Tamandua tetradactyla: one gene and its partners. The protein of the gene in region 3 interacts with the protein of the main gene of each other region in a pairwise test. Links are inferred from orthologs where the notes say so. Each region holds a gene or a part of one and is shown on either strand. Other genes may lie near its edges. The genes, in order: ZMAT2, ARL6IP1, FXR2 and PRAM1.

Region 1 (7,396 bases), on a different chromosome or scaffold from region 3:
TGGCCTATTTTTTTTTTTTTAACCTTTTCATTTTCTTTGCTGTAGGATTTTGACATTGCTGGTCAATTTGACCCTATGATCCCTGATGCAGAGTGTTTGAAAATCATGTGTGAAATCCTAAATGGGTTGCAGCTGGGGGAGTTTCTCATTAAGGTGAGGCCAACACTGAACACTGAGGGGGAGAAGTCTGGATCTGGTCTGCTAGTCTCAAAACATTGATGACCCCAGCCTTTTATCAGGCAGCTCTAGGACTTTCTTAGTATAGCTGTTGCATTTCTTATATACTTTTCCTGTGAGGTTTCCTTTCTGTCCTTTTTATGAGTCAGAAAAATAGGGACTGCCATTGTTTTGAGGGAAAGGGCATTGATGGGCACTTGGGTTACTTTCATTGAGTTCACAGGTCAATCACCGACGGATTGTGGATGGGATGTTTGCTGTCTGTGGTGTTCCTGAAAGCAAGTTCCGGGCCATCTGCTCCTCAATGGACAAACTAGACAAGGTAGCAAATAAGATATGCTTCAGAAGACACCATTTGGGTCTCTGCCCTGTCCCCAAATCTATATTGCTAGAGAAAAAGAAGGAGATAGGGACTGGATGTGAGCTATTTCTGGGAGGGCGGTCAGAAGACATCCTGAAGCATGACTTGAGTTCTGTGCAGTGGGCACTGTGACTAGATTTTCTAAATTGCCTCTGAGTTTGCTGAAAGTAGCATGTTACTCATACATACAGACTAAATGAAAGTGAGATGTCTTTTTCCAGTTAGAGTAAGCAAGATCTTACTGAGCAACTATTTGGGTGTTTATGCAGATATCTTGGAAAGCGGTGAGACATGAGATGGTGGCAAAAAAGGGCCTGGCTTCTGAGGTGGCTGATCAAATTGGGGACTATATCCAACGACATGGTAAGAACTAGAGTTTTAGAGCTGTGTGGTAGAACCAGGGTGAGGGTGATGTGTATAACTTAGTCCTCTGAAATTGCTCCTTTTTGGAGATGGTCCTAAGCTCCAGAACCTCATCTAAATTTAATTCCCCTTTTACTTTTTGTAAGCACTTTGTGTCTTCAGATGGCAAAGGTAGAGGCAGAAGAGGAGAGTCTGGTCATATGAGATTAGGAATCCTTTTTTTTTTTTTTTTTTTTTTTTTTATGAAAATGAGGAGGACTGACTGGAGCACATTAGAGATGGCTTGGATGAATGCTGTGTCTGAATGCTGGGTAAAAGACACAGGTTTATTTCTATCTACTTTTCCCTAGGTGGGGAGTCTCTTGTAGAACAGCTGTTCCAGGATCCCAGACTATCCCAAAACAAACAGGTGCTAGAAGGCCTGAGGGACCTGAAGCTGCTTTTTGAATACCTGACTCTATTTGGAATCGCTGAGAAGGTAAACTGAAGGGAGTGGTTCCCCCTGCTGAGCTCTAGCACACTTAGCATTCTGTCTGGGACTGACTGTAACCTCATCTCCACAGATCTCCTTTGACCTAAGCCTGGTTCGGGGCCTAGACTACTACACAGGAGTGATATATGAAGCAGTACTGCTACAGACCCCAGCTCAGGCTGGGGAAGAGTCTATGACCATGGGCAGTGTGGCTGCTGGTGGTCGCTATGACGGGCTGGTGGGCCTGTTCGACTCCAAGGGCCACAAGGTGCCATGTGTAGGGCTCAGTATTGGGGTAGAGCGGATCTTTGCCATTGTGGAGCAGAGAATGAAGGTAGGCCTTAGGTAGGGGCTGGGGTTGGAGGCCGAGAAACCCTCATGTTACTGAAGGTTTAGTGGGGCTGTTTTTCTGATGATTCTTTTCATCTTTTGGAGTTATTGGTTTGAAGGAATTTTTTTGTTGCTGTTTAGTTTTACAATCTTCTCTCTCTTTATCAGGCATTTGGTGAGACGGTACGGACCACAGAGACCCAAGTATTTGTGGCCACACCACAGAAGAACTTTCTTCAAGAACGACTGAAGTTAATTGCAGAGCTATGGGATGCTGGGATCAAGGTATGGTAGAGCAACATTTGGGTATGTGTGGAATTTGGGTTCCAGGCCTATTTCTACCTTAATGCCTAGGGTGGAACTGAAGGCCATTTTAGTCTTCACTAGAATGGCTTCTGAGGGTAGGAAGGCCAGCCACTTATTTGTTGCTTCCTTGGAAATACTTGCTTCTAGGGGTTGTGTGCTGTGTTCACTTGTAAAACCCCTGTCTTGACCCTTTTCAGGCTGAACTTCTATACAAGAACAACCCTAAACTGCTAACCCAGCTGCACTACTGTGAGACCATGAGCATTCCACTCGTGGTCATTATTGGTGAGCAAGAACTGAAGGAGGGAGTCATCAAGCTCCGCTCAGTCGCCAGCAGGGAGGAGGTGAGTGGAGGAAGACAGAAATAGAAGGGATCAAGTGTTACTACTTTAACAGATTCTTTAAGAAATAAAGGTCTTCTGGCTGAAGAAATATCTCCAAAGTTAGTAGGGGTGGAGATGAAGGAAGACCCCACTCCAAGCAACTACTGCAGCCAATGAGTATTAGCTGGGTGGGCAGAAGAAGGACAAATGAAATCTGAATGGGTGTTTTGAGACTAATAACAAAATAGACATATATCCATTGATTGAATTTGAATCTCTTTAATCTTGAGGGAATATTCTCTAGGTCAGCCTGAAATCCACATTATTCCCCATTGGTTTCCTAAGTAGTAAGAGCAGATGCACAGTAAAATGAATCTGGAAAAGCAGTGGCTAAGGAATGGGTGTCACTTTCTAGTTTGTCACATGAGGGTTCTCTTATATTTCAGGTGGCCATTAAACGGGAAGATCTTGTGACTGAAATTCAGAAGCGACTATCTGAGTCTTGATCTTTTCTTAACTGCCATCTGCTGCTCTTTGTAGAAAAGGTTCATCTACCAATGAGTTCCTGAAAGACTTCACAACTGCCAGCCAAGACGAGTGACAAGTTCCTTCTGCCTTTTCAGTTCTTCCTGGGTACAGAACTGTAGAAGGCCCCGAGGACTCCTGGGTCCTGTGGCTTCAAGCCACTAGTGTGAGCAGCTATTCTGCATGAATGCAACTGGCTGGTATGTGAGAGATATGTTCTAGCTGCAAGGTAGATGGCAGATTTAAAGTGCCACTCAGTTCCACCAAGAGGTGCTGAGATGGTTGCTGTAAGAAAGGTATGAGAGAGACACCACAGGCTGAGAGAATTCTGAGCCATCGAAATCTTACCCTTCCACTGTAGCCTCTGAACCAGAGTCTGGGGAATTTGTTTATAACTAGCCAATGGCCTGGCCCATGGAGTTTTTGGGAGACAGCAAGGAGGGGCAATGGCTGCTTTCTCATTTGAGATCAGAGATGCTATCCCAAGGGCATGGTCATGCCCAGGTTGATCTGGCATCTCTTTAGCCCTTCTGCTATTAACAGTAGAAATATGGGCTATCTGTTCAATGAGTTCAATGTTGAACTTAATAGGTGACTTGGCAAGATTGAGGTCTCATCTTTTGCCATTTTTATTTACTGTGCCACAATCACTACTCTGACTATTCCATGCCCTCATGGAGGTGGATATTCTAGAGGTGGTTGGATGATATGTTAAATAAAATATTTAATGTAGTAGTTTGGGTGATTTGTTATAAAAGAATTGGTTTGCATAGGCCATAGAAAACACTTGAGTATACATTGGAGAATTCTAATTGTGAGCTGGGTGGGAGTAACTTCCCTGGGGTGATACTTATGTGTTCACTGAAGAGAGGAGCCACATTCCCCACCTGCACCTCACATCCACCTCACATCCCCATCATAACTTGGAGATTTTTATCGCTAAAAATCAATCTAGTGAGCCATCTGCCAGAGTGCTTCATACTAGAAACGTGGCTGTTAACTGGCCTTCGTAAGCCCAGTCATATTAATTACATCGTGCCCTACTGATTGGATAACAATAATGTTCTCCAGGTGAAAGAAAAATGAGTCAACCAAAGGGTGAGATAGCATTGCTTCAGGAAAAGGGCCAAAGTGCCAAAAAGCATTTTCCATGCATGTGTGTTGAAAAGGCTACAGCTCTTGCAAACGCTTCAGTGTAGCTTAGAATTATATCCCTAGTGCATGCAGTGAATGGAGCTTCTAGAGCCCCTGTAACAGCGCTTCAGCCTTAAAGGTTTAGAAACTCTTGGCCATACACTCAAAGTAGATTAGGGTAGGTCAGAGGGCACTGTTTCCGAACCTAAGTTTCCTCACTTGTGAAGCAGACGAGGTAAACTAAATCTATCAGCCCATCAATCCTTGTTTTTAAAGCAAGGGATCAAACAGGTTAGAAAGCGCCCTTACTTCCGTGTTACTTCACATTCCACTTGCGCTTGCGCTATCCTCTTGAAGCAAAGGCGGAGCCAACTACCCTGTTTAGAAGCCCTCCCCGTCCTTAGTTCGTTTAGAACAGGATTCTCTAAGCTTATTGGAGGGTCATCTCGCTTTACGGTTCAGGGACGCTTTTTACGGCATTTTCCGGCTTCCCGTTCACTTCGCGGCGAAGATGGCGTCGGGCAGCGGGGTAGGTGTTGTATGAGAAGGATTATGGGGGGGTTGGGGGCTACTTCTCATAGCGGAATAGAGGTAGACTCCTGCACGGGACTGGCTGCCAGATACCTTCTTGCAACCTCAGGATCCGGGTGCGAGAACTCCCCGTAAGACCTGGGCACAGGGTCGGTGGAATCGCGGAGGTCTCTGGGTTCAGGGTCCTGGGACCATCCCAGCCTCTTGATGGGATTCAGAGAGGCTTTCGGTATTGGAGGGTCCTGGGAACGTCTTGGCGCCTAGGACGCGATTCCCTCATTTTCTCTAGGGGTCCGGGCATGGTTAGCGACGGACTGTAAGTGCTTTTCTCCCCTTACAGACAAAAAACTTGGACTTTCGCCGAAAGTGGGACAAAGATGAATACGAGAAGCTCGCAGAGAAGAGGCTCACGGAAGAGAGAGAAAAGAAGGATGGTAGGTGCCTGCTCTGTCAAGGGCTAAGGATAAATAATTAGAGGGATTCCGGTGGGGAGTTGAAATACGCTGCCCTACACTGTGTAATCTTTTGCAGAGCATACGCTGCCCTGCACTTCGAGTAACCTTTTGTGGTCCTCGGTTTCTTCGTGTGCGAGGAGGTGGACCGAGGTGGTTTTGAAGTTCTTTTCACCACTCCTGCCCTCCCGTTGCTTGATTCATTCAGTGCTTCCCTGATGTACAGAGAAGAAATTGGAATTCTTAATAGTGATAGAGAAGTGGAGTGGAGTATTTGCGTTTTGCTGCCGTGCATTACTGGTGTCTACCCCGTCTTTCCTTTGAGATTACTTCAGGGGAAGGAGAACATTCCTGGCCCAATCAAGACCCCCCCCATATGATCTGAGAAAAGCAGTACTCATCAGGGAACCGTGTGATAGTTTCAGCTAGTGGTTAGTGCTTTTTCTCTGTACCTTGTACAACCTCAAGGAGTTACTGTTCCTCTCCTAGAGAATCCCACTTTATGGAAAGAAATGTCTTACTTTTTTCATCTGTTTTCAAACTTGTATGTCCTTCTTCCACCTTTCTTCCACACCACTTTGCACACCCTAATCCTTTTGTTTTTTATATTAAGTTGTGTAGCAGTACTTGGTACGTAGCAGATGCCTCCAAATTGTTAATTCCTTCCCTCTTTATTAAATTTGACCCACCTCTCAGAAGGTTCCTTTCTGTGCTACACATAGAGTATCTGCCCGACAATATTACTGTGTGTCTTTGCTTTTTTTTCTTAAAACGTTGCTTCATGTACAAATTCAGAGCTCATCCCCTCAATTCAGCTAATCAATGGATAGGAAAAAAAAATTGCTTTTAAACTTGCTAGCTTTAAAGTAGAGAAAAGCTATAGAGAATTGGGGATTGCTTTTCATTTATTCCTGTGTTTAGAGTCTCCCTAGCTTCTGCTTCAAGTGACCTTTGTGTCCCTTGCTTCAGGAATCAAAAAACAAACATACATGAGAATGGACTCTGAATTTTGCATCTCATGTATTTTTTTCCCTTTCTGATGGAGGAACTGTAATACTGAGGGGACTCCTTTTCCCATTATGTTTCAGGAAAACCAGTGCAGCCAGTCAAGCGGGAGCTTCTGCGGCACAGGGACTACAAGGTGGATCTGGAATCCAAGCTTGGGAAGACAATTGTCATTACCAAGACCACCCCGCAATCTGAGATGGGAGGGTGAGTGGCTTTTCATCTTTCTCTGCCACCAAGAGTGAGACTAACAAATAGTCTATGTTGGTTTTAGGAAGTGCTGAGTATAACAATAGTATCTGTAATTTTGGTCTTCTATTTGCTTTTCTTTTAGTTCCCCAAAGTCTCAATTCAAGTTAGCATAATAGTGTTTCCAGGAGGGATCACTCCACAGATTTTTGCATATTAGCACTGTAATTCCTTAATACTTTAAAGGGGATTATTTATTCTCCTGCCAGAGATAAAGATGAAGGAAAGGACTACTGAAAAAATTTTTCTAGGGAAAAATTAGGTAGAACTAGAACGGAGCCTAGGTGCTGTTGGTGCTGAAGAAAGGGGTTTGAGATTTCAGACAGGCTGTAAAGGCTGTAGTTGTTCTGGATTGCCTTGCAGACCAAGACTGTAACCTTTAGAAGAAGGGCCCCACAAGAGCTTTTCACCCCTTTGCCCACCACTGCTGCTCTATGCAGTTTGTTAGGTTTTCTAGCAGGAGGAAAACACAGATGGCAATGAATGACAGCTCTCTGAGCTGCTTAGTAAACTTGCTGTTGTTATTGCTCTCTTTATTAGTTATCTATTGCTATGTAACAAATTGCCCCAAAACTTAGTAGTTAAAAATCACAAATAGCTCACAATTTTGGTAGCAAAAGGAATCTGAGAGTGGTTTTGTCCTAGCTTCTTCTGGCTCAGGGTCTCTTACAAAATTGCATTCAAGGTGTTGGCGAGGGCTCTAGTCATCTGAGGCTTGAGTAGTGCTGGAGAATCTGCTTCTTAGCTCTCATATGGCTGTTGAACAGAGGCCTCAGTTCTTTGCCCCATGGGCCTCTGCTTAGGACTGCCCACAACAAGACAACTGGCTTCCTTAGAGCAAGTGATCTGGGAGGGAAAGGTGGATAGACAGGCAAACTAAGACAGAAACCAGTGTTTCATAACCTACCCTTAGGTATGATACACTGTTACTTTTGCCATATTCTTTTTTTCATGCAGATCAGTGCTGGTACAGTGTAGGAGGAGACTAGGCAAGCATATAAATACCAGGAGGTGGGGCTTGTTGTGGGGGTCATCTTAGGGGTTGGCTACCATACTCTTCCTAGTGCTAAGGCTTTATGGAAATGAAAAATGCCTTCTTCTGAAATGATTGGGAATATTGTATCTAAAAATATGAGTTTCTTGGTTGAAAACCATACGATTCTTATAA
Region 2 (7,817 bases), on a different chromosome or scaffold from region 3:
TACAAGTATTCCAATTTTTCCACAACCTTGCCAACACCTGTTACTTTCCATTCTTTTTTTTTAAGAAGTATGTAGCTGAAGATTTTCAACTATTCATTTAGACCACTGGTTCGCGAAGATATTATTTATCTTTCTCATGCTAATTAAGAGGCTTCATGACATGAAATCATCACAGGCACAGCTAATGGAGTACGTGCTTGTATTTTAAAATCTGTCTTGTTAATGTTTTAAAATTTGTCTTAATTTCTAATACTGTAAACACAAAAGCTCTGTGGGGTCTTCAATAATTTTTAAGAGTGTAAAGGGTTTTAAGGCCAAACAGTTTGAGAGGAAACACTACTTTATTCAACTATGTGAAGTTACCAAGTTTACATAAGCATTACAAATGTTGAAAACTCGAAAAACTGCTCAAAGAAAAGGTATTCTTTACAGATTATACATTACAAAAGATTTAAGGGACTTCCATAAATGGAGGCCACATATTACCTGAGCCCTTATTAATAACAACCACTAAGCAGAGTAATTTAATAGCCCACTTACAGAAACACCAAAGAAACTGCGCCCATGATGGCAGGTGGAAACCAGGCTCTTTCCCATCGGAGGACTTTATCAGCCATCAGCATCACTTCTCCCCATCCTTGCAGCTGCTCTTCCAGGCTTGCAGTCTCTGCAGCCTACATATGGTCAACATTGAAAGAGATCATTTTGCCACTCTCAGCATTTCTGGGGTTCCTAAAGTTCAATTCCTCTTAGGTACCAAATGTATAAAATACCTGTGTTTTTTGTTTTTTTGGGGGGGTGGTGGTGCATGGTTCGGGAATTGAACCCAGATCTCCTGCATGGAAGGCAACCATTCTGCCACTGAACTACTAAAATAACTGTTTTTACCAAGTCACTATCTCAATAGGTTAGTTTTCGAAAATCTTCACAATCTTAGTATCACAGAAGCAAATCAATGGGAGAAGAAATGATCATTTAAGGCCACAGAACAAGTCCAAGCACTGGGCTAAAACTTCACATGTACGACATAACATAATCCCCACAGAGCCTTTGGAGGCAGGGATAATTATACCTATTTTACAATTAAAGAAAGTGAGCTCAGAATGGCTAAGACCAAAGTCAAGCACTACCAAGTGGCACACCAAGGGTTTTCATTTGATTAGATCACGTTAAGTTTGTTCCTTTCACTTGGTTAGACCTGATCTTTGTTTTTGTCATTTCATTGATTTAAAACTTACTTCTAAATCCATTAGCAAAGCCTCCCTGAACAGCATTCAATTTTTAAATAGCTCTTTGTGTAATGGAGTCACTTAGATGTTGGTGTCATTTCACAATCAGGTAAAACTACTCTCACAAAATTTGTGGCATTTAAGCTCAATCTATTTCTTCAAGACAGTGTTTCGTATTCACTTATCAGGACAATTGGGTAGGCTTCCAATTTCTCTGAAAATCTGACAATCAGCTGAAAAGACACCTCTAGGATGGCAAAAAGAAAAAGATGGAACAGGAAATCTATGTGTCCGTTTACAATGTCATCACTGGAAAATAAGCAAATGTCAGAGGCTCATGTTATTTATTCTTAATAACGATGTTCTCTGTGCCTCACTGAAGAAGTAGGAACCTCAATACTTTTAACTTTATACCCCATGCTTAATACTAGGTTAAATAAATATTATGTGCCAGAACAGTGCTAAGTATTTAATCTTCCCAACAATTCTTAAAGGGTGTTCCCACTATCTCCATTTTACAGATGAGGAAATTGAATATACAGAGGTTTACAGATATGAACCAACCCAGGAAATCCAGGACCAAAGGCTCTCCTGAAAAGTTATAATGCTTTGCTAGTTGGGGGTGGGGGTGGGGGTGGGGGTGGGAGTTACACGAAGCCAGGAGCTCTAAACCAGGATCTCTACTAGCAGAGTAGTACAACTTAAGGAGAGTTGTGTGAAAAGCTTCTTTGTGTCACCTTTAAAAGAAGCCAGCTAGGGACTAGCCATAGACAAGCTGTGTGGGGGTGAAAAACATGCATTAATCAAAATATCCTGTAAAGTTACTTAATTCGTTAGCACCTGGGCCCTGCGGAATTCAAAACCCCAAATTAAATTATTTGGTTCCTCTTTGCATTGAGGCTGGGGTGTGGCCAGCCCTTTCCTGGAGACGAGGATGAGGGCTGACGGGGAGGAGGGATGCAAGGATTTCTCTCCTATTTTCGCCTAGATCGTGCACTTAAATATACTTCTATGATATGACCCTACTGCAGTACCCTCAAATTCCTGCTTATTCTAAAGTTGTCCGCTGTCACCCTGCGAATCCCAGACTTTCAAATTCCAGGCAAACGTTAGGCCCTCCATGGTCCTTCCTAGTTCGCTGGACCTCGCAGCCTCCCGGCCGTTTGAAGTTTTGCCAGCTTTAACAGAAATTTCGGCAGCAGCCCTTTGACTGCATCCCCGCCCGGACCACAGGTGAGAAAGGATGAATAAACAATCCGGATGAAGATCAAAGAAGGGGAAACCCAGATATGGCTGAGGCCTTAGGCTGCAAAGCATTCATCAGGCCCCTCGAGGCCCTTCGCCCCGGGCTGCACCCCAGCTTTTTCTCACGCACCCGCCCCCTTCTCCCATTTCCTCCCTATCCTCCATTCGCGGTGACTAATCACGCGCCCTCCTCGCCCCACCGCGCACTTTCCCCCGAGGATGTAAGGGATCGACCTCCGTCACCCAATAACTACCCAAGAAGCCCAAAGGGAGGCGTCGTCGGCTGCGCCTGGGAACCCCGAGAGGAGGGCCGGAACCGCCGCCGGTGACAGAAACGATTCCGCAATGGCCACCCCCTAGGGCCGAACGACGATCGGAGGTCGCCGGAACTCACCAGCAGGTTGGTGCTGCGATTATCTCCCTCCGCCATCGTCCGCGATTGCCGCGTGAGCGAACGCTAGTCTGCCTACAGCCTACGCTTAGCACGACGCCTTCACGGCTACCCCAACGCTAGGGTACGCGGCGCAGGTCGTTTATATAGGCCTGCCGCCTTTCCCGACAGCCCCCGCGAAGCTCGTTCCTCATTGGGCGGATTGAGCTCAAACTTAAGGGTAGCCGGACCAACCGTTGCCCAGCGCATGGCTTGAAATAGAGGCTAAAAGAGACAGAGGCCGAGCCGAGCTGGGAACACGGAATGACCAATCAGCGCCCAGGGGGGGTGCGCCTCCGGTCCCGGGGTTTCGCGAGCGGTTGAACGGCCGCCGCCCGGGCAGAGTCTACCATCCTCGGTACCTTGGCCGCCCGGTCAGCTCCTGGGACCTCTTCCGTTAGGCTTCAAAGTGGCTAAGGAGGCTCTCTGGAAAATTTAGGGTTCAGTAGGCTGCATAGTGTCAGGCGGAGGGCGGACGAAGGATGTGGCGTTTAACTTCATTGTGGTTAGGGAAGCCGGCTGGGACCGTCCTCCCCGACCAGGCCAGTGCCCCTTGCCCTCCTTTGTGCCCCTCCTTTGTGCCTTCCTTCTAATCCCTGCCCGGGCCGCCTTTGCTAGCATTTTAGCCCAGATTTGTGACTCTGAGACTCGTGCCCACCTCATGAGGTTTTGAAGACATGTGAAAAGCACTGTTTGGATTTTGCTGCAATTTCTCTCTCCTACCGGATCAGGAATAAGTCTTTCGCTCGGGAGGAAGGGAAGACCTTGGCATTTTTTTTCAGAGAACGTGTGAAAAATGCCTTGACTTAAAAAGTTGGCTCCTTTACATCGGGTCTTTGGGGAAAGTTTGTAGGGCATTTCACTTACTCCTTAGGACTACTACTCCTGTGTTGGCAGGACCTTCCTTACTTAGGTGATCATGATAAGGAATGATGTAAACCCTTTCGTAAGCAGTTAAACTAGATGAACTATGTTGAGACAGTTTTAAGTATTTTCTACCCAGGATTTCAAAATGCATTTATGCTTTGATTTTCATTATTCAATAATAATAATAAAAAAATCATGCCAAATATTGACCTGGCCAGATGTGTTTCAGGTAAGTTATCCATAGTTTTTTAACTTCCAGCTTTTTACATTATAGTCCTCTATTTTATACCATCAAATTTAAATTTGCTTTAAAAACATCAAACAACTACCCTGTTCTTAAGAGTTCTAAAGCATTTGGATAAGTAAAAACACTTGAGAAAAAAGCCTTTGCAAAAGGGGACTCTCCAGTAAGGTGCAACTTTGAAGAATGTTGGGGGGGGGGATGGAAATAGGTGTGTAGGTAAGGGATGCAGGCAGTTGATATAGAGACCCCATTCTGGTTTGTTTTTTAAGCTGTGGAATTTAAGGCGCAGATCCTCCTCCACCTCTTCAAAGAAATAAAGGATTATAGGATCCAAAGAACCAGCAGAGATTCCACATAAGTGAATATGTTCAGCACTGAGTGCACAATCTTTCTGTACTCCTATTAATATCCTCTTCCAAAGGAGAGGGCATGGCATTCTCATTAGGCTTTAAAAACTGACATTTCTACGTTAGGAAATCAGTTTTTGCTACAGAATGATTCTGGTTTTCACTGAAGTTACTTGTGTACAGCTTAAGAAGGAAGACTTTAAACAGCTGGTGAAACTGAGGTACGTTTAAAAAAAAACAGAAGAGACTCAGGAGTACAGTTCTCCCAAGGAGTATTTTTGTTATTCAAAGAATGTGTTCTCAGATCCCATTTCAAATTTATAGCCTAGGAGCACTGCTATATAGTCTTTCACTATATTTCCAACTGGCCTAACTGAAAACACCTACCCTATAAAAATACAGTTTTTGAGCTTTGTGTACTACAAAGACAGGATGTGATCTTTTGAAATGTGTGAGATGACTGAGCAGTTACCATGAATCCTCCTAACATAAGCAACAAATGCAAACCTAAAAAGACAAGCTGGACATTTTATCTTTATTGGTTTTACACCCCAGTGATTATACCTTTCTTCTTTTATGCCAATAATGATCTGCTAAAGTTCTGTTGTAAAGTATTGCTAAACATATGCTTAATAAAATTCGGCCTTAAAATTTTTTTGGCCTTAAATTTAAGAACTTTCCCACTGAAGTGAAATTTCCACCTCTGTTCAACACTACTATAGAGCTGAGGGTAAAAAATTGCTTTGAGAATTAAACTTAATTAACTAGGGATAGTCATGGCAAAAAAATAAATAAAAGGCTAGCCATGCTTCACAACCATTTTCTGTAATCTTTCACCAATAAATTCAGATCTTAAATAAAAAGCTACATCTTTTGAGACTGAACCTTTATTTTTTTTTTTGAAAAACAGGTATTTCATACAATCTTTGCCAGGTTAATGCAAATATGCACAAAGTAGGCATGTATTTTTGTTTTCCAAAAGATGCATTACGAGCATTTTCAGGAAGCTGGTGTAATTTAAATTCAACTTTTAATCTTAAAATACAATCACAAAATTATATCCATCAGGAGGCATTACAACCTTTTGTACAGAGAAGCCACTTTTATTTATACAATTTTACTGGACAAGGAAGATTCAGTCCAACTCAATTTGCTTTTAGAGTAAGGATAAAAAGTAAATTAACAAGTGAAATATGATGGTGTGCCACTGACATCACACAAAGGTGGAAATATAAGGGAAGTTTAAACCAGAACAGTAACTGACGCAAGAATTTTAAACAGGAGCTGAAACTTGACTTGTCAGGAAAAAGAAAAAAAATATATTTAATCAGCCTGTTTTGAAAGAAAAACATCCTACAAGTTTGCATTTCAGAACATGCAATTCCTTAAGTTTACCATCTTCAAAAGTCTAATTATATGGTGTTTTTACATTAGCACAAGAATAGTAATTCCAGTCTATCCTCATGGAAAGTAAGAGATCCTAAATGGTTCATGTTGTACAACTAACCCTTGAACATATGAATGTTCTCTCAGTTGGAGTCAATTTGTCCTTTTGTCAGTAAGGGCTGGTGATATTTTACCCAGGCCTAAAAAAAGCAGAAAAATTGCAACAAACCCTCAGAGTTTCATAATACAGTGTATTCCCCGCTTCTGAACATTTGGAAAACTTCGTGATGTTAACTAGCTTTTCCCCATAGGAAGACCCTTTCTAATACAAACCAAATATTGAAAACAAAATTTACCTTCTTTAAGTGACCCTAACATTAATATATTCTATCCCCTTGATTTAAGGAGTAAAAAGTCTTAGTTCCAAATTCCTAGCATTTTACAAGTCCAACAAGGTATAGAATTGCAAGACATTGGTCTTCATACTTAATCTAAATTTTATGTAAAGATACTTAAATGGGATAACAGTAAAAACATTCACTGATCTTTGATGTATATGAATAGGACTAACAGGCTAATTATCTGTGCTTTAATACGAAAAGGAAGAAAGGAAAAGGAACCAGCTCCGTTGATTTTAGTACTGCCCAAACAAGTAAGCCCCCAGAGTAATTACAAAAATGTGGAGAAAAATAGGCCAGGAAGACTTTACGATTTAAAGTACTGCCTATAATACCCCAGATTAAAAAGGATCTAAGATTGCACATCAACTCTAATATTTGGCTGTACTTGCATTGCCCTGCTCAACATTTTTTAATGGCTCTTTCCTTAAATTTTACACATGGGAACAACCACAAAAAAACAAAACTAAAAACAATGCAGATAAACACCAAACACTGGACAATATTAAAACTATCAACTAAGCTTAGGTAATAGAGACAAGTGTTAAGGGCAGATGGAAGTTATTCTTTGTATTACAAACCCTAACACTGAACCTGGGGTTTGGGCCCTAAAAAAGCAATTTAGGGATCAAGAGCCTGATTATCAGTTCTCATACAAGAAGTCTCACATATTTCAAAAACGACTCACAAGTATCAGACAGAAAAGAATCTTAATCTCATGACCAGAAATGGTGAGACACATAAGACATACCAAAGAAAAGAGTAAAACAGAAATATAGACAGCTCCATTAGCTATTAAGCCTCCACAGCTCTGTAGAGAAATCATTTAAAATTAGGCAATTCTAGCAAATCAAAGACAACAAAACACTAAAGATAAATTTCAATTTCCAAGGGTACTTTCAATAGAAAAGAGGTTGTTTGACGGTTATTCTGTACCCCCTGAATCTGAGAGAGAGAGAGAAGAGGATCCCTGGTTTTCCACAGGTATTTTGTGTGTCTTCAAAAAGTTATGACTTCATAACTACAGCACTCTAACTTTACATTATTTTACGATAATCCCTAAATATAGCTGTCTTCTCAATCTGCTCTATCACCAGGGCCTTCTACTTTTGATTAAATTTCTAACGAGTTCTCTTACAACTGTCCAGAACAGCAAGGCCCTTTGCCCCTTGCAGAATGACATTCCAGAAGAAACCAAACTGTACAAAGGGGCTTTGTTCAGAGTGCTGAACAAAGAATAAGCTTTGAAGTCATTAATTCCTCATACCTGCCCCAAATGTACTACATATGCCACAATTCTCTGAGGGACCATTTACTCATAGGCAAGAAAATTCACCTATTTCATTTATCTTCTTTACCAAAAGAGGAAGCATTTCTAAATACTACTTATAGGGACAAACTAGTGTGAACTGGTTTTATCATTGTGATAAAAAGTTTTCCTTGTGACAAAAAGAATGTTGCTAAAAAGAATGTTTCATATCCAGAGAGCAGAGGTAATCAAGTGATGAATGCAATAGCTCCCACAGCCTCGGGAAAGAAAGCAATGTGCAAAATACAATATGGCATTTTTATTCCAGCTAGGTTGTTTTGTGAAAATATATTTCAAAATTAACAAAATAAAATTTGATGAGAAAGGTTCCTTAACTTGCTGTTAGACACATGGGTATCCAA
Region 3 (7,666 bases):
TTGATTATATATCAAGAATGGAATGATTACATGGTAAGAATGTTCATGTTTGTATGTTGTTATGTTTTTTAAAAATTAAAAAAAATTAGGGGAAATAAAGGCTAAAATATATTGGGTAGATGGAAACACTAGCAATCAATGAGAGGGAGGGGTAAGGGGTATGGTATGTATGACGTTTTTTTCTGTTTTCTTTTTATTTCTTTTTCTGAACTGATGCAGATGTTCTAAGAAATGATCATGGTGATGAATGTACAACTATGTGATAATATTGTGAGTTACTGATTATATACTAAGAATGGGATGATAAATATATATATCCAGGCAGGGTCTGAAAAGTTTAATGAATGTGCCCAGAAGGGTACATTCTCTCATTTAGGAGAGTACAACTTAAAGAATAAAATACATTAAGTTCTGACAGAAAAGAAAGGGTTGGTGGGGTAGCTACAAGAAAACTTAGATCTCAGATCTAACATTTGCATTTCCACCTTGGAAGAGGACCCATTCTGAGAGAGGAGAAAGGGATCTTCCAAAATTTATAGTTTTAAAAACAGTGTAAATACTCTCTGATCCACACCAAAGTCTGCTGAGTCATGAATATTAAATCAGTAGCAAGGTCAGTCTGGCTAAGTGTCTATATGACAATGAAAGCTGAGGAAAGATTAGCCTGAATTTAGGGATTTGTTGTTGTTTTTAACTGTAATGGAACAGAAAATGTTAAAGTGGCTAGAACACAAAATCCACATTACATGGCTTTCGACTCAATTCCAAACTCTACTCTTTGAACCAAAGTATTCTGTCCCTCAATCAAAGGTCTGTCATTGCCATAGCTCACAGGAGAAAAGGGAAAGATTCATAGGAAGACTCTGTGTTGGACACTTACTATGTGAAAAGAGAACTCTCTCCCTTACCAACCATCTCATACAGTTAATTTGAACAGGATACCAATCTTTCCCAGCTGTGCTTGGCTCCCATGCTTCCATGAACAAAAGTAAACATCATATCTTGATCTCAGACTCAATTTAACAATCACTCTTCTTGCAACTCAGAATTTGAGGGGGGGCCCAGATGAAGGACAAGATACTTGGAAAATGGGGATAACATCTTATGCAGAAGGGTATTTCAGTAAAGGTAATGTAAGTTCAGGGGAAAGAATATGAAACAAATACACTCTATCAGAACTATAAAGGAATTAAGACTTTTTTTCCCGGAGAAAATAAATGTTCTGGGGGCAAACTTCAAGAAGAAGTTCCAAGTTATAAAAGTATGTAGAAAAAATAACAAAAGAGATCAATCAAGAACTTCCTTCAAGCTAGACATGCAATAAGATGGTTCCTGATGATTACAAAAGTATATAGAATAAAAATATTACAATAAGTTAGAGGCTTGAACTGAGAGGGAAGTTAAGACAAACAGACAGAGACAGGTACAGAAATCTGGTGTGGAGACTAAAGTAGATATGGTTAGTGGGTAAAAAAAAAAATGAATACACTGAACTCATCAACTGAACTTGGGATAGAAACCATCCACTCCAAGTGCAAATATATGACCCTTTCCAGATAAAGTAAGCTATGATTTCATAGGGAAGAAATTATTTCCAAGGGCATAAAGGTGGAGGGGTCTACTGTGGAAGAAAAGGCTTGAGGAGATGTTAAGGAAATGAGGCTCTTCTCACCAGTGATGTTAAAAAATCTTTTACCCAGCTTCTCAGGATGAGAGTGAAGAATGAGACAGGAATCAGGAAAGTCTCTGTGACAATTCCAGGAATAAGGCCCAAAGAGGTTCAGAATAACAACAGTGACAAAGAAATATCCTTAGGAGGCAAGAAGGATCTTCCTCTGGCCTAATCTAAATGGGGGGGGGGTGAGGGGGATGTCCTAGAAATTGAATTCAGAGGAGATAAGGGATAGATGGTCTAAAAGGAATTCTAAGGAACCAAATCCTTGGTGAGGAGAAGGCTGAAATAAGCAAGGGTCTTTGAAAGATACTCCCTTCCTCCTTCCAAAAAAGGTTACTAGCAGATTCCCAAATTGGGAGTTGGCAAGAAGTCTTCTAGAAGTGAAAATCCTTAAGAAGATAAACAGAAGAGGTCCACGTGAGATCCCCTTTTAGATATTATGATATATGAAACTTATACATTCCTCAAAATGGAGAAAGCATATAAATGATCTAAATGTATCCGAGGTCAAAGTGACAACAAAAGCCCATCCCCTAGGTGGAATGGTAGACCAGCTGGCCTTGGGGTAAAGAGGCGGGGCAAAAGACTACTAAAAAGATGCCACTTTATGGTTGGGAGGCAACTTGACCCTGAAATAACCCAGAGTTCCTAAGGTCAAAGACGCCAAATAGTTTAAATGGCTTTTGACCGTTTCTCCTTGGACTGCGAACAGGAATGAACGATGAAAGTGGGATGATTTTCCCCGAGTCAGTGGGCAGAAGTCTCTCTAAGGAAGATGAACGAATGGCTTTCCACAAGACGGCTAACGGGGGGGAGAATTCTCTATGTGCTTGGACTGTGGGAATGATATGATTAAGGTCTAAGGTATATCTTTGCACTACGAAACAGGAAAAGTCAATAAGAAACTGGTTAAATGGGGGTCTCTTCTAGGGGAAAGGGGTGGCGGAGGGCACAGATTTAGGCACAATAATGCCCTGACGTTCATTTCCTCTGAGGCGCGAGCAAAAAGCAGGTGTACCAGAGGGATCCAAAATAGGAAAGAGGGTTAACTCCCAGAGGTCTCCCCAGGAAGGCTGAGGGTGGGAGTGAGGCTTGTCTAATGCTCTTAGAGGTCAGGACTTCGCTGGAGAGGCTCCATCCCGCCCCACTCTTTCCGGCTCTGGGAGAGGGCCAGGGGCCGGTGTACCCGATCGGCGCGCCGCCTCACCTTGTAGAAGGCCCCGTTGGAGCCGCGCACCTCCACTGGCAGTCCCGACTCCACATCCCCCCCAGAAGCCAGGCCGCCCATGGCGCTGCCACCGCCTCCGACTCCCCCGGCGGCGGCTGCAGCAGCGGTCTGAGTCCGGGCCGGGCCGGGCCCCCGGCGTCTCCCCGGAGGAGGAGCCGGAGGGGGAGCCGCGGGGGGCGGGAGCCGGGCCGGCCCCACGGCGGCCCTGCCACAGCCAACGAGCAGGGGGCCGGGGCCGGGCCGCTCCCCGTCCGCCGCCGCCGCCTTGGTCTCCGCCACCGTGAGGGAAACGGCCGCCGCCGCCGCTGCCTTCGTCACCTCAGCTTCCGCCCGCCGCCGCCCCCGCTGCTGCCTCGGTCCCGGGACCCGCTGCTGCCTCTGCCGCTCCACGGCCTCCACCTCCCCCTGCCGCCGCCGTCTACTGCGCAGGCGCACCCGGCACCCGCCCGCCGCGCGCAGAGCCCGGCGGGCCACGGCGCAGGCGCCAAGGCTAGCGCCCCAGCTCGCGCTCGCCAGCGCATGGGGGCTTCCACACTCTCCTTCCCTCTCTCACGCCCCCTCCTGGTCGTTTACATGCGCTTGCGCAGAGCGAGATTAGCTCTCTTTCTTCGCCACCCCATCACTCCACCCCGCCGAGCTCTTCCTTTCCCCGCCCCACAACACTGACCGCTGACCAATCATAGGGAGGGAGGGACCGCTCTCACTCCGTGGGATTGGACTTCTGCGGCTCCTGGTCATACCACACCCACTTCACCACTAGGAGCCATACCAGGCTTGGACAAGTTAGGGATAGGCATGCGCCGGAACGACTGCTTGGTCACTTTCCCCACCTTTGTCTTTCTTGGTGCGCACGCTCCAAAGGAAAAAAAAAAAAAAAAGTAGTGTCGAAAGGCAAAGAGGTGTCCCGCGCGCGTGCGCCGAGATTTATCGCCCATAGACTTGTATTGAATGTCTCTCCAAGCTCCTCTAACTTTGTGTTTAGGAGATTTGAGTTACGGTTCTTGCCTTGAGGATATTACAAGATGATCCTGATCATGTATGTAATGAAAGGTCAAAGAATAGTTGCAAGGCGATGGCGAAATGCAATTTAGATTGGCACAAACTCAGAAATCTAAATGCTGAGGAAATTCAAAATAGGAGAAATTGTCATCGAGTGAGGGTAGCAGGGGAGAAACTTAGGATCCCTGAACTAAGACAGATAAGAAATGTAGTTGAAATCGAGTAAAACAGTACAGAAATTAGAATCATGTGTGCGCATGTAACTATTTAGCAAACATTTATTTAGCCCCCTCCCCCCCACTATGTTCCAATCACTGAGCTAAGTGCTTGGGATCCAAAGACAAGATGTGGTCCCTGAGCTCAAGGAGTTTATTTAAATAAATAAATGCACAGAGTGCGATTAAGATGTGATAGAGATAGGGACTAGGTATTGAGGGAACCCCAAGGTGACAATGGTTAGCAGGACTTAAGAATGGCCAGGGAAGAACAAACAGAGGTGCTACAAAGAGGCAAAGCCGATGCAAAGAGCAGAAAGAACACGTCCTTTGCGGAACCATATCTACTTCATCTAGCATTTAGCACCAAGGAAGGAGTTGCAGGAAGCTAGACTGTCAAGGACTTGTAAGACAAGTTAAGGAGAATAACTTTTATTTTATCAATAATGGAGAGCCAGTGAAAGAATTTAAGTGGTTGCTACCCCTTGATGTGATAAGATTTGCATCTTACAATTTTAGAGGATAGATTGAAGAGTAAGGGTGGTCCTGAAGACAGTGAGACCTGTGAAAAAAGAAGCTAAGGACCTGTCTGAACTACGGTTATGGGCAAAATAGATAAAACTTGAATTTGAGCCTATTTAATTTGAAGTAGGATCACAGGAATTGGTAATAGAGTGTGGGGTGGGGTTAGGTCAGGAGGCAATGAAGTAGTGGGAGGAACACAGGACAATTCCTAGATTTCTAACTTGGATTACAGAGTGAATGGTGATGTGAGTTTGGTTTTGTATTCTTTCTTTATGAGGGCCTGTGGGCCATTCAGGTGGAGATACTCCCTTGTCTCAACAAATTTCTCTTTTGGGTCCCAGTTTAAATATAATTTTCTTACCCTTCTGGTATGCTAATTTTATTAGTCCCCCATCTTACACTGCCAAAGCATCTTTTACTCCTTTGTGGCCCTGATCACGGATGTAATAATAATTTACTCAGTGTCTTTCTTCCACTATCACACCATAAGCTCTGTGATGTTGGAGACCAGGGTCCATGTCTGTTTGTCCCCATCACTGTCTACCCAGCAGCTCACAGTTCCTGAGTGAAGGAACAAATGTCTTACAGGTGAGTGATCTGGGAGAAGTCTGGGTTAGAAAGGTGCTTGTGGAAATCATCAGCATAGTTAAGTCTGAGGAGTAAGTCCGAGGAGTAAATTGAATCTCCAAATAAAAGGTTTAGAAATAACTAAGGTCCTGATGGAACTCTGAACTACACCAGTATTTAAAAAGCTGTCAAAAAAAAAAAAAAGGTGCCTCCAAGAGTGACTGAGAAGGAGCAGCAGTAATTAGAATGACAGAAATGGTCAGAAGACAACCAGCAGTGATTCTGATGAGTGCAGAGAGTTAAGGAAATTAAGTAGGGCAGATTACCAAGAACGCTAGACTGAAGAGTATGGGTTTGATCTCTTAAGCGTAGGAAAGGACTGAATTTTTTTCAAAATAGCACTGTTAGGAATTGAATTGTGTCTCCCAAAACGACATGTTCAAGTCCTAACCTCTGGTTCTGTGACTCTGAACTTATTTGTAAATAAGATGTCTAAAGATGTTACTAGTTAGACTGAAGTCAGTATGACTGGAGACCTGGGTTCCTTATAAGGAGAGGAAATTTGGAGGCAGAGAGACAGATGTATAGACAGGGAAATGGCCATGTGGAGGAGGCAGAGATTGAATAATGTCTCCACAAGCCAAGGAACACCATGGATTGCCGGCACCAGAAGGCAACAGAGAGGCATGGAATGGATTCACCTCCAAGAAGCATGGCCTTGCTGACACCTTGATTTCAGACTTCTAGCCTCAGGGACTGTGATAAATAAATGGCTGTTGTTTAAGCCAGTTAGTCTGTGGTGCTTTGTTACAGCAGATCCAGCAAACCAAGACAGGCACTGTCACCAACTTCCAAGCCACAGGCACCAACAATCTTCTCAGGTTTGACTTTTCCTCTCCTTCATCTGCTCTGGTCATTGTTTATTCACGTAAAGGATGGGAGTGGGAAAAAAGGGAACAGCATTTCAGACAGGGGAACGGCATGTATAGAAAGCCTAGACTTGAGGTGCTAAAAATAGTCTAACATGGCTGGAACAGACTTGGAGAGGAAACATGGCTGGAAGGGTTGGCTTAGGCAGAGCTTAGAGGACTTGAAACGTATTTCGATGTTTGGACTTTCCACTGAAAACGGTGGGTGCCATTACAGGATTTTCAGCAGACTTGTATTTCAGTAAGATTACTAGCTGGAGTACAAAGTGTGTATAACAGATGCCCCACTTGCTTTGGGGTTTCTAAATAAATAAAAATAGTGGGAGGAAGATAGAAAGGTGGATAAAAATGGGAATTAAATGTAAGTTTACATACTGATTGTTGCTACTCCCCTCTTCCCCCTGACGTCTTTCTCCCCAGATCCTAGAATACTTGGAGCCATTGCTTGCCTCCAAGCAGGAGTCCTCTCTGATGAAGCTGATCAGATAAGTTTGCCTTTGTAAAGTTGACAGACAGGGAACACCTGGTAAAGCGGTTGGTTGTTTTTTGATTAAAGACAATGGCAAAGAACCTCATCCCAAGGATGTCGCTGGAGGTGGATTGGGATGATGGAGGAGTTGGCAAGAGGCTGGTTCCTTATCTTCAACAGTGAGAAGGCAACAGCCAATGCTTACAACAGAAATGCCCAGAAGTAGGAATATTTGCATGCTGTTTTGAGTTTGAAACACACAACACAGAAAATGCAACTGAAAGTGATTGCTGATTTTTATTTGATTTGTCTGTTTATTTATTTAATTTTCTTACCTGTCCATACATTGGATAAAGGGAATGTCAGTCACTAGGTTTTCACAAGCATGTGGTCAGACCTTAAACGCTGTATATTATACAATTATCTTCAATAATCAAAGCTGTTGGAGTTCAGTTCAGTAGTTTCAGGTATTTCCTTTTAGCCACTCCAATACACACACAAAAAACTGATGAGAGATATCTATATACTGCATAAGAATAAATTCCAAAATGATCTCTCAACTCTCTTTGAAATCTCTCAGCTACTGAAACTTTTATTTTGTTTCATTTCTCTTCCCCCTTTTGGTCAAGGTTTCCCAATCCCATATTCCAAGGGCCAGGCTCATCCCCTGGAGTCATGTCCCACATTGCCAGGGAGATTTATACCCGGGGAGTCATGTCCCATGTAGGAGGGAGAACAGTGAATTTGCCTGCGTAGTTGGCTTAGAGAGAGAAAGGCCACATCTGAGCAACAAGAGGTTCTCTGGGGTGACTCTTAGGCATAATAATAAGTAGGGCTTAGTTTCTCCTTTGTAGGAAAAAGTTTCATACGGGGAGGCCCCAAGATCAAGGGCCTGGCCCATTAACTTGAAAGTCCCCAATGACTGCACAAATATCAGGTCTTCCTCAGTTGGGGAAGTTTAATGTCTCAAGGGGACTTGGCAAATACTTTTTAATCTTCTGCCCAGATTACTCTGGGATATATCAGGGCATCTCACTAACCTGTACAAACCAACAAGAT
Region 4 (6,974 bases), on a different chromosome or scaffold from region 3:
GTTTGAACTCAAGCTGTTGGGACCTCTTGGGAAATACACTGAACTCAGGCTCTGAGGATGTCCTGGTAAGGTCACCGAACTCGGGCTGCAGGAGCCTCTTGGGGAAGTCACTCTGGTGAGGCTGTAGGACCTTTTTGGGAAATGCACTGAACCCGGGTTTTGAGGATGGGGGGTGGAGCTCAGTGGACTCGGGCTTCGAGGGCATTGAGGGGACCTCACAGGAGTTGGGCTGTGTCAGGGACTTCTTAGGGGGCTTTCTGGGAGGCTCATTGATCTCAGGCTGTGGGGGCTTCTTGGGAAAAGTACTAAAGTCAGGCAGTGAGGGCTTTGGAGTGGCTTCGCTGGCCTCAGGCAGCCGGAACTTCCTGGGGAATGGACTGAACTTAGGTTCTGTGGGTGGTCTGGTGGAGTCGTTGAGCTCCAGCTGTGGGGGCTTCTGGGGAAATGTGCTGGGCTCCGGCTGTGGGGGCTTCTGGGGAAATGTGCTGGGCTCCGGCTGTGGGGGCTTCTGGGGAAATGTGCTGGGCTCCGGCTGTGGGGGCTTCTGGGGAAATGTGCTGGGCTCCGGCTGTGGGGGCTTCTGGGGAAATGTGCTGGGCTCCGGCTGTGGGGGCTTCTGGGGAAGTGTGCTGGGCTCCGGCTGTGGGGGCTTCTGGGGAAGTATGCTGGGCTCCGGCTGTGGGGGCTTCTGGAGAAATGTGCTGGGCTCCGGCTGTGGGGGCTTATGGGGAAATGTGCTGGGCTCCGGCTGTGGGGGCTTATGGGGAAATGTGCTGGACTCCGGCTGTGGGGGCTTCTGGGGAAACGTGCTGGGCTCTGGGGGCTTCTGAGGAACCTCACTAAACTCGGGCTGTGGGGGTTTCTTGGGAAATGGACTGGCCTCAAACTGTGGGAACTTCTTGGAGAGTTCACGGGAGTCGGGTTTGGAGGGCTTCCTGGGAAGATCAGTGAACTCAGATTGCAGGGGCTTCCTGGGGAAGGCACCAAACTCGGGCTGCAAGGGTTTCTTGGGGACTGCACCAAACTCAGGTGGTGAGAGTTTCCTGGGGTGCTCGCTTGACTCAGGCTGTGGAAACTTCTTTGGGAGTTTGTTGAACTCGGGCTTTAGAGATTTCCTGGGGGGTTCACTGGACTCGGGCTGAGAGGCCTGGAACTTTGCTTGGAGGCTCCGGAAGCCCTGATGGCTCTCCTGCAGGACAGGGAGCTAGTCAGGCTGGGACTCCTGTACATCGAGGGTCACTGAGAGGCAGATGTGGGAATATACATGCGTGTGCACACACACATCCACCCTTAGACTTGCTCCTCTTCCCTGACCTTGGCCTCATCGCTTTTGGCTGAGGTTTCCCACAGTTTCATCTCCAGGCTCCTGTAAACTACATCCCCCCAGTTTCCCCTACCCTCCCCACTCTGGTGTCCAATACATCCCAACCTCTCCATCGGTGCTGAGCTACCCATATGCCTCCCAACACTGCTGCTCCCTCAGTCCTTCCTTTTGTCGGATAACCTCTGAGCTCCCCTGACTGCCTCATTCTTCTGCACCCTAAATCCCCAACCCCTTCTAACTTTATTTGGAATCCAACCGCTTCTCACCTCGGCCACTGCCATCATCCCAGGATCATCCTAACAGCATCCTTCCCGGTCTCCTAGCCCCTGGCTCCCACCCTCCCTCTCACCATCCCTGCTCAGTCCCCCCCACAGCAGCCAGAGGAAGCCCCTAGTTGGTTCGTGCCTCTGCTCAGAATCCTGCAAGGGGTCCTCATCTCCCCGCAGTAAAAGCCCAGATTTCATAAAGGTCTCTCCCAACCCCAATCTCAGTTCCCCCTCCTGCCTCCTTGTTGGTCTTTGAACATTTGAGCACTTCCCCATCCCATCTCAGGGTCTCTGCACTTGACCTTCCTCTCTCCTGGGACATAACTTCCCCACCTTGTGCTTCTCTCCTCTTCCTCCTTCATCTCTCTGCTCCAAATGTCCTTATTAGATGTGCCATCCTCAGTTACCCTACTTTAAATCAATTCCCTCTTCTCAGCACTCCACACACTGTTTCTTTTACACGCACATGCACATGCGCACACATACTGGTAGACAGACTGACACATAGGCATCAACTGTGGTACACTGAGTATGTATGTCCCAGGCACCCTCGCAACCAGCCCCGTGAGCTTGATCATGGATGCCAAGAGACAGGCAGATGCACAAGTAGGCCAGGTCCTCTCTGACCTACAAGTTCTCCCACACGTGGCTTCGCCTGGGGTCAGCGAGTTAGGGGGAAGAGGACAGAAATGTGCCGGAAGGACCCACCAGGCCTTTGCTCCTCTGTGCATTTTTCCCCATCCAGAGGATGGATTAGGGTCACCCCTTGGAAAGACTGCCTTTTAAGGCTACTTCCCTACTGGGTGGGTCAAGGCAAGGACTCTGAGGTGACCATACAGTCAGATAAGTCACGGTCAGTGGGTCATGACCCTGGGGAAGGGCAGGTGGGGGTGGTGGGAGCCTGACCCACTTTGACTCCACAGAGGAAGCTTATCTGCCTGCTATCAGTTCATGTTGGCCTGGGGGCAGGGGAGTGGCTTCAGACTGTCCCATCTGGACCATAGGCCCTTTGGAACCCGAGCTGTCCTGGGGGAGGGGGCGGGGCGGGTGTCTCCACTGCTCCGTGCCTCTGGGCCTTTTCATGAGGCATCCCTGTTTGCTGAACTTCGTTCCCAGTTCTCTTTTGCCTGTCCTGTCTTGGACAATCCAATTTCCATGTGCTCCACCCCTTACCTCTGGCAGGTGCAGAGATCTCCTAGGGATTGGGAACTTGGGGACTCACTCACCATGGCTGCAAGTAGGTGATGGGCGATGGGGTGAGTGGGACCCAAGCTGAGTCTGCTGTCTTCAGGAAGTTAACTGTGGCTTCTGCTTCACCGGCCAGCACACAGGGTGGGGGCTGCCGGTGGAGTGGGGCGGGCAGAGGAGGAAGGAAAGGGGGTGGGGACTGCCCTAGCCAGTTGCCAGATACTGCTGGTTGCTTCTAACCCCCTTGAGCTCCCGTCCCACTTGCTACTGACCCTGAGCTTCGGGCCTCAACTGAGTCGCAAGTTTCTTGACTGTCTGCTATCCCCCTCCCCATACCCTGCTTGTCCTGGATTTGGGGATGGCAGGGAGAACTGGATGCCAGACGTGATGGCTTCCTGCCCCCCAAGGGGGACCTCCGAAAGGACCTGGTCAGAGCTGGGGCTTGGGAGGCCGCTGGGGAGGCTGGGAGATCCAAGGGGGGGGGGGGGGTCTGATGGGGAGGCCCCATCTGTTTGCCCTTCTTGCTTCATCTGCCTGCCTCATTTCAACACTTCCCCGTGGGCCAATTCCCAGATCTGAGCTGGACTTCCCTGTTATAGGAACTGCCTGTGAGGCCCCTCAGCAGATGAGCCAGCCGCAGCGGGGCAGGGCTGGCACGCGGGACAGAGGGCTGGCAGACTCGGTGGTGGGTGGGTGGTGTCAAATTCCTGACCCTGGGGAGGGGTTTCTGAGGACACCCCATCACTCCAAAAGACAAGAAGATTGGGAGGAAAACTGAGACAGAGTGGGAGGTCAGCAAAGAAGTGATGGCAGTGATTAAGACCAGTACTATTAGAGAATGGAGGCTGGCTTTCTTTTTTGTCTCCTTGTATTTTGAAGTCGTTGCCTTTTTAATCAGAGATACGGTATTCCAAGCACAAGCCTCTTTACAAAGCCTTTTCTTTTCGGCTTGGGCAGCAGTTGAGGAGTCGTGGATGCTAAGGGCATTTCAGCATGTGATTGTGAACACTGCATCCAAACAGCCCAGCACAACTCTGACTCCCGGGCCCAAGAGTGCTGGGGTGGGGGTGGGGTGCCTCCCAGCAAGGGCTTTCTTGAGCTTATTTAAACATGGAGGCAGGGAAGGTGGGTTGGTTGTCTTGAGGAACTTGCATTCTGAGCAGGAGCCCTTCAACTGCTTGCTCTGCAGAAGGGAAAACAAATGTGCCTTTTTGCTTGGAAATCTGCTTTAAAAGCACAGCTTCGGGATTCTGGAGCCTCTGCACTGCATGGGGTGACCCATGAAGGCAGGGAAGACGAAGTCTGGGCCCTCTTGGGATCTGTCGCACCAGCTAGCACAGGCTGATCATAAGAGGACAGCATATAGTGTTTGGTGAGAGAGGGAATGAATGAAAGAACAAGCAATTAGTAGTTGAGAGCATACATTAGGTGCTCAGTGAAGGTAAGCTGGGGGACAGAATGATAGCTGGCGACTTCCCAGGCTCCCAGCCCAGCCACTCCTGGGCATTTCCAGCTCCAAACTCATAGGGATGGCGTCCCTCAAGGCCCACTCCCTGCTTCCAGACAGGACTCCCTGGGGCAAGTCCCTGTGTTGCCTGCAGGGGCCCCAGCAGGTGGGGGTGGCTGCGCAGGCTCCCCCTCACCTCCTCTTTGTGTGGACAGCAGTTCCCGCAAGAACAAGCGGCTCCATTTGGAGCTGTGTTCCCGGAAGTCCAGAAAAGTGAGCGCAGGCTGAGCTCTGCCTTGGGAAGTGGAGGTTGTGTGGGGCATGGGTTCGGAACTCTGCGGGCTGGGGAGGGGTCTGGGTATTGGGGTGCCTGGGATCTGAGCCCTCGGTGTGAGAAGGTCCACTGTGCATAAGAGCTGAAGCCGGCATGACAGATCCCCGCGCAGGAGCCCCAGCACCTGCTGGGCTTGAGGCTAGTGGGGGTGGGTGGAGGTCGGACCAAGTTCAGGAGCGGGGTCTGGGGATGTGTGCCCAGTAGCTTCCACCTTCTCCCTTCCAGCCCGGGGTGAAGGTAACCGAGCCACCACCCACAGGTGACGGAGCTGGTCCTGGACACCTGCTCAGTGAGGCACACGAATCAACATGAACCTGCTTCTCTGGCCAGCCTTCCCATGCATGGAGCAGGTTGGTGTATGCAGGGATCGGGACTGCACTCGCCTCTCATTCATGTTCTCCAGGGCGCCCCTTCCTGGACTCAGCCTTTGGGACATCCTGGAGTTGGTGGTGGGATGTGTCTCTCCATAGGGTCATGGCTTGGCCAGAGGAAGGGCAAGGGCTGCAGGAGCCCAGAAGGGAGTGCTGGGGTCAGGAAAGGAAGGCTTCCCATAGAAGCATACAAAGGCAGGAGTGAGTGAGGATGGGGTGAAGGTTGGATGTAGTTTTTGGAGTGGATGGGGTGGTTGCTGGAGTCCAGGTCATGACCCAGCTCCCAAGGCAGAGTTCCAGCTGGCTCCAAGGGCAGTGGGGAGCTGGGAACTCATAGTCCCGAGGGAAGGGCAGCTCTGTGTACACAGGTGCAGGGGAGGGTCCTGGACCAAGGTGTTGACTCTGGGTCTCCCTGGAAAGGCACAGACAGGTTATTTGGGAAGTAGCATTACCCGGATTTTTGGGTGCCTGAAAGAGGGGCCTGATGCAGGGATCAGGGTTGGAGGCCTGGTGCACAAGAAACACAGAGCCCATCCCCTGGAGATGACGAAGAACCTGGGGCTAGAACCGGGGGAACAAAAATCCCAGGCCCGTGGGAGTCCGGGAGAGGGGAAGGAGCCCCACAGGCCTTTCTGCCTGAGAGTCAGCAGGGCTACATGTGCCCAGCTTCTGGGGTGGTGCCCAGTGGGTGAGTTTTGCCTGACATGGAAGTGGACCTGGCTGGTCAGGGCTTACTTAGTTAATTTCCCCTTCTGGCCTCACCCCATTGGTCAAATGGGCCCTTGAGCCTGTTTCCCTTCCTCTCCCAGTTCTTGGGAGGATCCCAGGCAGGATGGGTTGGTTGGGTGAGTGAGGGATGTGGCTAACTAACTCAGCAGACATATCCCAACCCCTCTCCGTCTCTCCCAGACACCACCCCCCTTTTTTAACCCTTACAAGGACCAAGTTTTCAGGACTAGGGAGGGTTGATCTTCCTCAAGGTAGCACAGTCATGGCTCCAAAGCCTCTGGCTGAGAAGGCAGGAGCTCAGAATCAGAAGGTCTTATGGCCCATTCAGCCCCAAAGCTGGGGTTGAGTGACAACTGCTTTAGAAGGGACCTGGTGGTGTGGGCAGAATGGACACCTGGCCTGACACACCTGAATCTCAGAGGCAGCTATCACAGCCCTGAAGGCCTGGGTGAGGCCTTCAGAGTGGAGCGGGATGGCAGGCAGCCCCCATGACCAGGTAGGCCATGTCCTAAGGGCACCTGGATCCCCTGTCCTGCTCCTCACAGAAATGGAGGGGCCTGTGGAGCCTGGACCTGTTCAACCGCGAGGTAATGCTGCAGCTGCTGCCCCTGCTCGTCTACCTGGTTGGCTTCGATGCTGGGGACTGTGAGGTGCCCAACTCTGAGGCTGAGGCTGACACATTAGCAGAGGACAGGCAGTACGGTAAGGGGCAGACAAGAAGAGTTTGGAAGGGTGGGGCTGCGGATCCAGCCCAGGGATGACAGGTGTCTTGTTAGCTATAGACACAGAAGCTGAAGACAAGAATAGACAACTCAGGAGGCCTCAGAAAATGAGGTCAGGGGAAAGGAAAGGGATTGGATGAGGTGGGGAGAGGCTGGGGAGGTGCTCAGGTCCTTGCTCAGGGGTGTCTCTGCTCCTTAGGAGGATGAGATGAAGAGGACATAGAAGGAGATGGTTAGTGTGGTCCTGGGAGTGGGTGGGTGAGGAGACTCAACCAGGGGCCTTGTGGTCTACTAGATCCGTGTCTTCATTTGGAGGGCCACGGGGAGCCAATGGATGGTACAAGACAGGGGAGGGGTGCAACTGGATTTATCCTTTACAGAAGAGACCCCTGTGTTTCCAGGGGCTCTCAGGCTGGAGAAGGGCATGAGGGGTAGCTGTGGGTACCTGAAGAGGGGGAGTTCAGGCCCAGGCTGGGGGGCCATGGGGGCTGGTGAGAAGGGGATGGATGGGAACAAGATAGAGGCAGAGGTAAAACCACCATCCAGCAGGTACACAGGACTTCCATGCTCAGGAGCCATGGCCAGCTGGGTTC

The links.
Region 1: the proteins of FXR2 (region 3) and ZMAT2 interact in binary tests that used the Homo sapiens proteins (3 or more experiments, as listed by UniProt). The two-hybrid records come from large-scale screens. The link is inferred for Tamandua tetradactyla from reciprocal best matches to the Homo sapiens genes FXR2 and ZMAT2.
Region 2: the proteins of FXR2 (region 3) and ARL6IP1 interact in binary tests that used the Homo sapiens proteins (3 or more experiments, as listed by UniProt). The two-hybrid records come from large-scale screens. The link is inferred for Tamandua tetradactyla from reciprocal best matches to the Homo sapiens genes FXR2 and ARL6IP1.
Region 4: the proteins of FXR2 (region 3) and PRAM1 interact in binary tests that used the Homo sapiens proteins (3 or more experiments, as listed by UniProt). The two-hybrid records come from large-scale screens. The link is inferred for Tamandua tetradactyla from reciprocal best matches to the Homo sapiens genes FXR2 and PRAM1.

The regions. Positions count from the first base shown.
Region 1 is NC_135346.1:20,719,648-20,727,043, forward strand, and holds the start of ZMAT2 (zinc finger matrin-type protein 2), read left to right. Parts: upstream 1-4,394; 5' UTR 4,395-4,502; coding exon 4,503-4,520; intron 4,521-4,862; coding exon 4,863-4,956; intron 4,957-6,062; coding exon 6,063-6,186; intron 6,187-7,396. Other genes in the region: histidine--tRNA ligase, mitochondrial, read left to right, coding at 46-153, 401-499, 808-901, 1,252-1,379, 1,465-1,707, 1,872-1,988, 2,207-2,353, 2,779-2,838. UniProt on the Homo sapiens protein: Involved in pre-mRNA splicing as a component of the spliceosome.
Region 2 is NC_135349.1:40,185,319-40,193,135, forward strand, and holds the start of ARL6IP1 (ADP-ribosylation factor-like protein 6-interacting protein 1), read right to left. Parts: upstream 3,005-7,817; 5' UTR 2,905-3,004; coding exon 2,869-2,904; intron 2,850-2,868; exon of another isoform or gene 2,729-2,849; intron 675-2,728; coding exon 541-674; intron 1-540. UniProt on the Homo sapiens protein: Positively regulates SLC1A1/EAAC1-mediated glutamate transport by increasing its affinity for glutamate in a PKC activity-dependent manner.
Region 3 is NC_135332.1:61,463,631-61,471,296, forward strand, and holds the start of FXR2 (RNA-binding protein FXR2), read right to left. Parts: upstream 3,017-7,666; 5' UTR 2,964-3,016; coding exon 2,883-2,963; intron 1-2,882. UniProt on the Homo sapiens protein: mRNA-binding protein that acts as a regulator of mRNAs translation and/or stability, and which is required for adult hippocampal neurogenesis. Specifically binds to AU-rich elements (AREs) in the 3'-UTR of target mRNAs.
Region 4 is NC_135337.1:84,926,829-84,933,802, forward strand, and holds the start of PRAM1 (PML-RARA-regulated adapter molecule 1), read right to left. Parts: upstream 3,002-6,974; 5' UTR 2,820-3,001; coding exon 2,817-2,819; exon of another isoform or gene 1,190-2,816; coding exon 1-1,189. Other genes in the region: acidic leucine-rich nuclear phosphoprotein 32 family member B-like, read left to right, coding at 4,868-4,909, 6,205-6,361. UniProt on the Homo sapiens protein: May be involved in myeloid differentiation. May be involved in integrin signaling in neutrophils. Binds to PtdIns(4)P.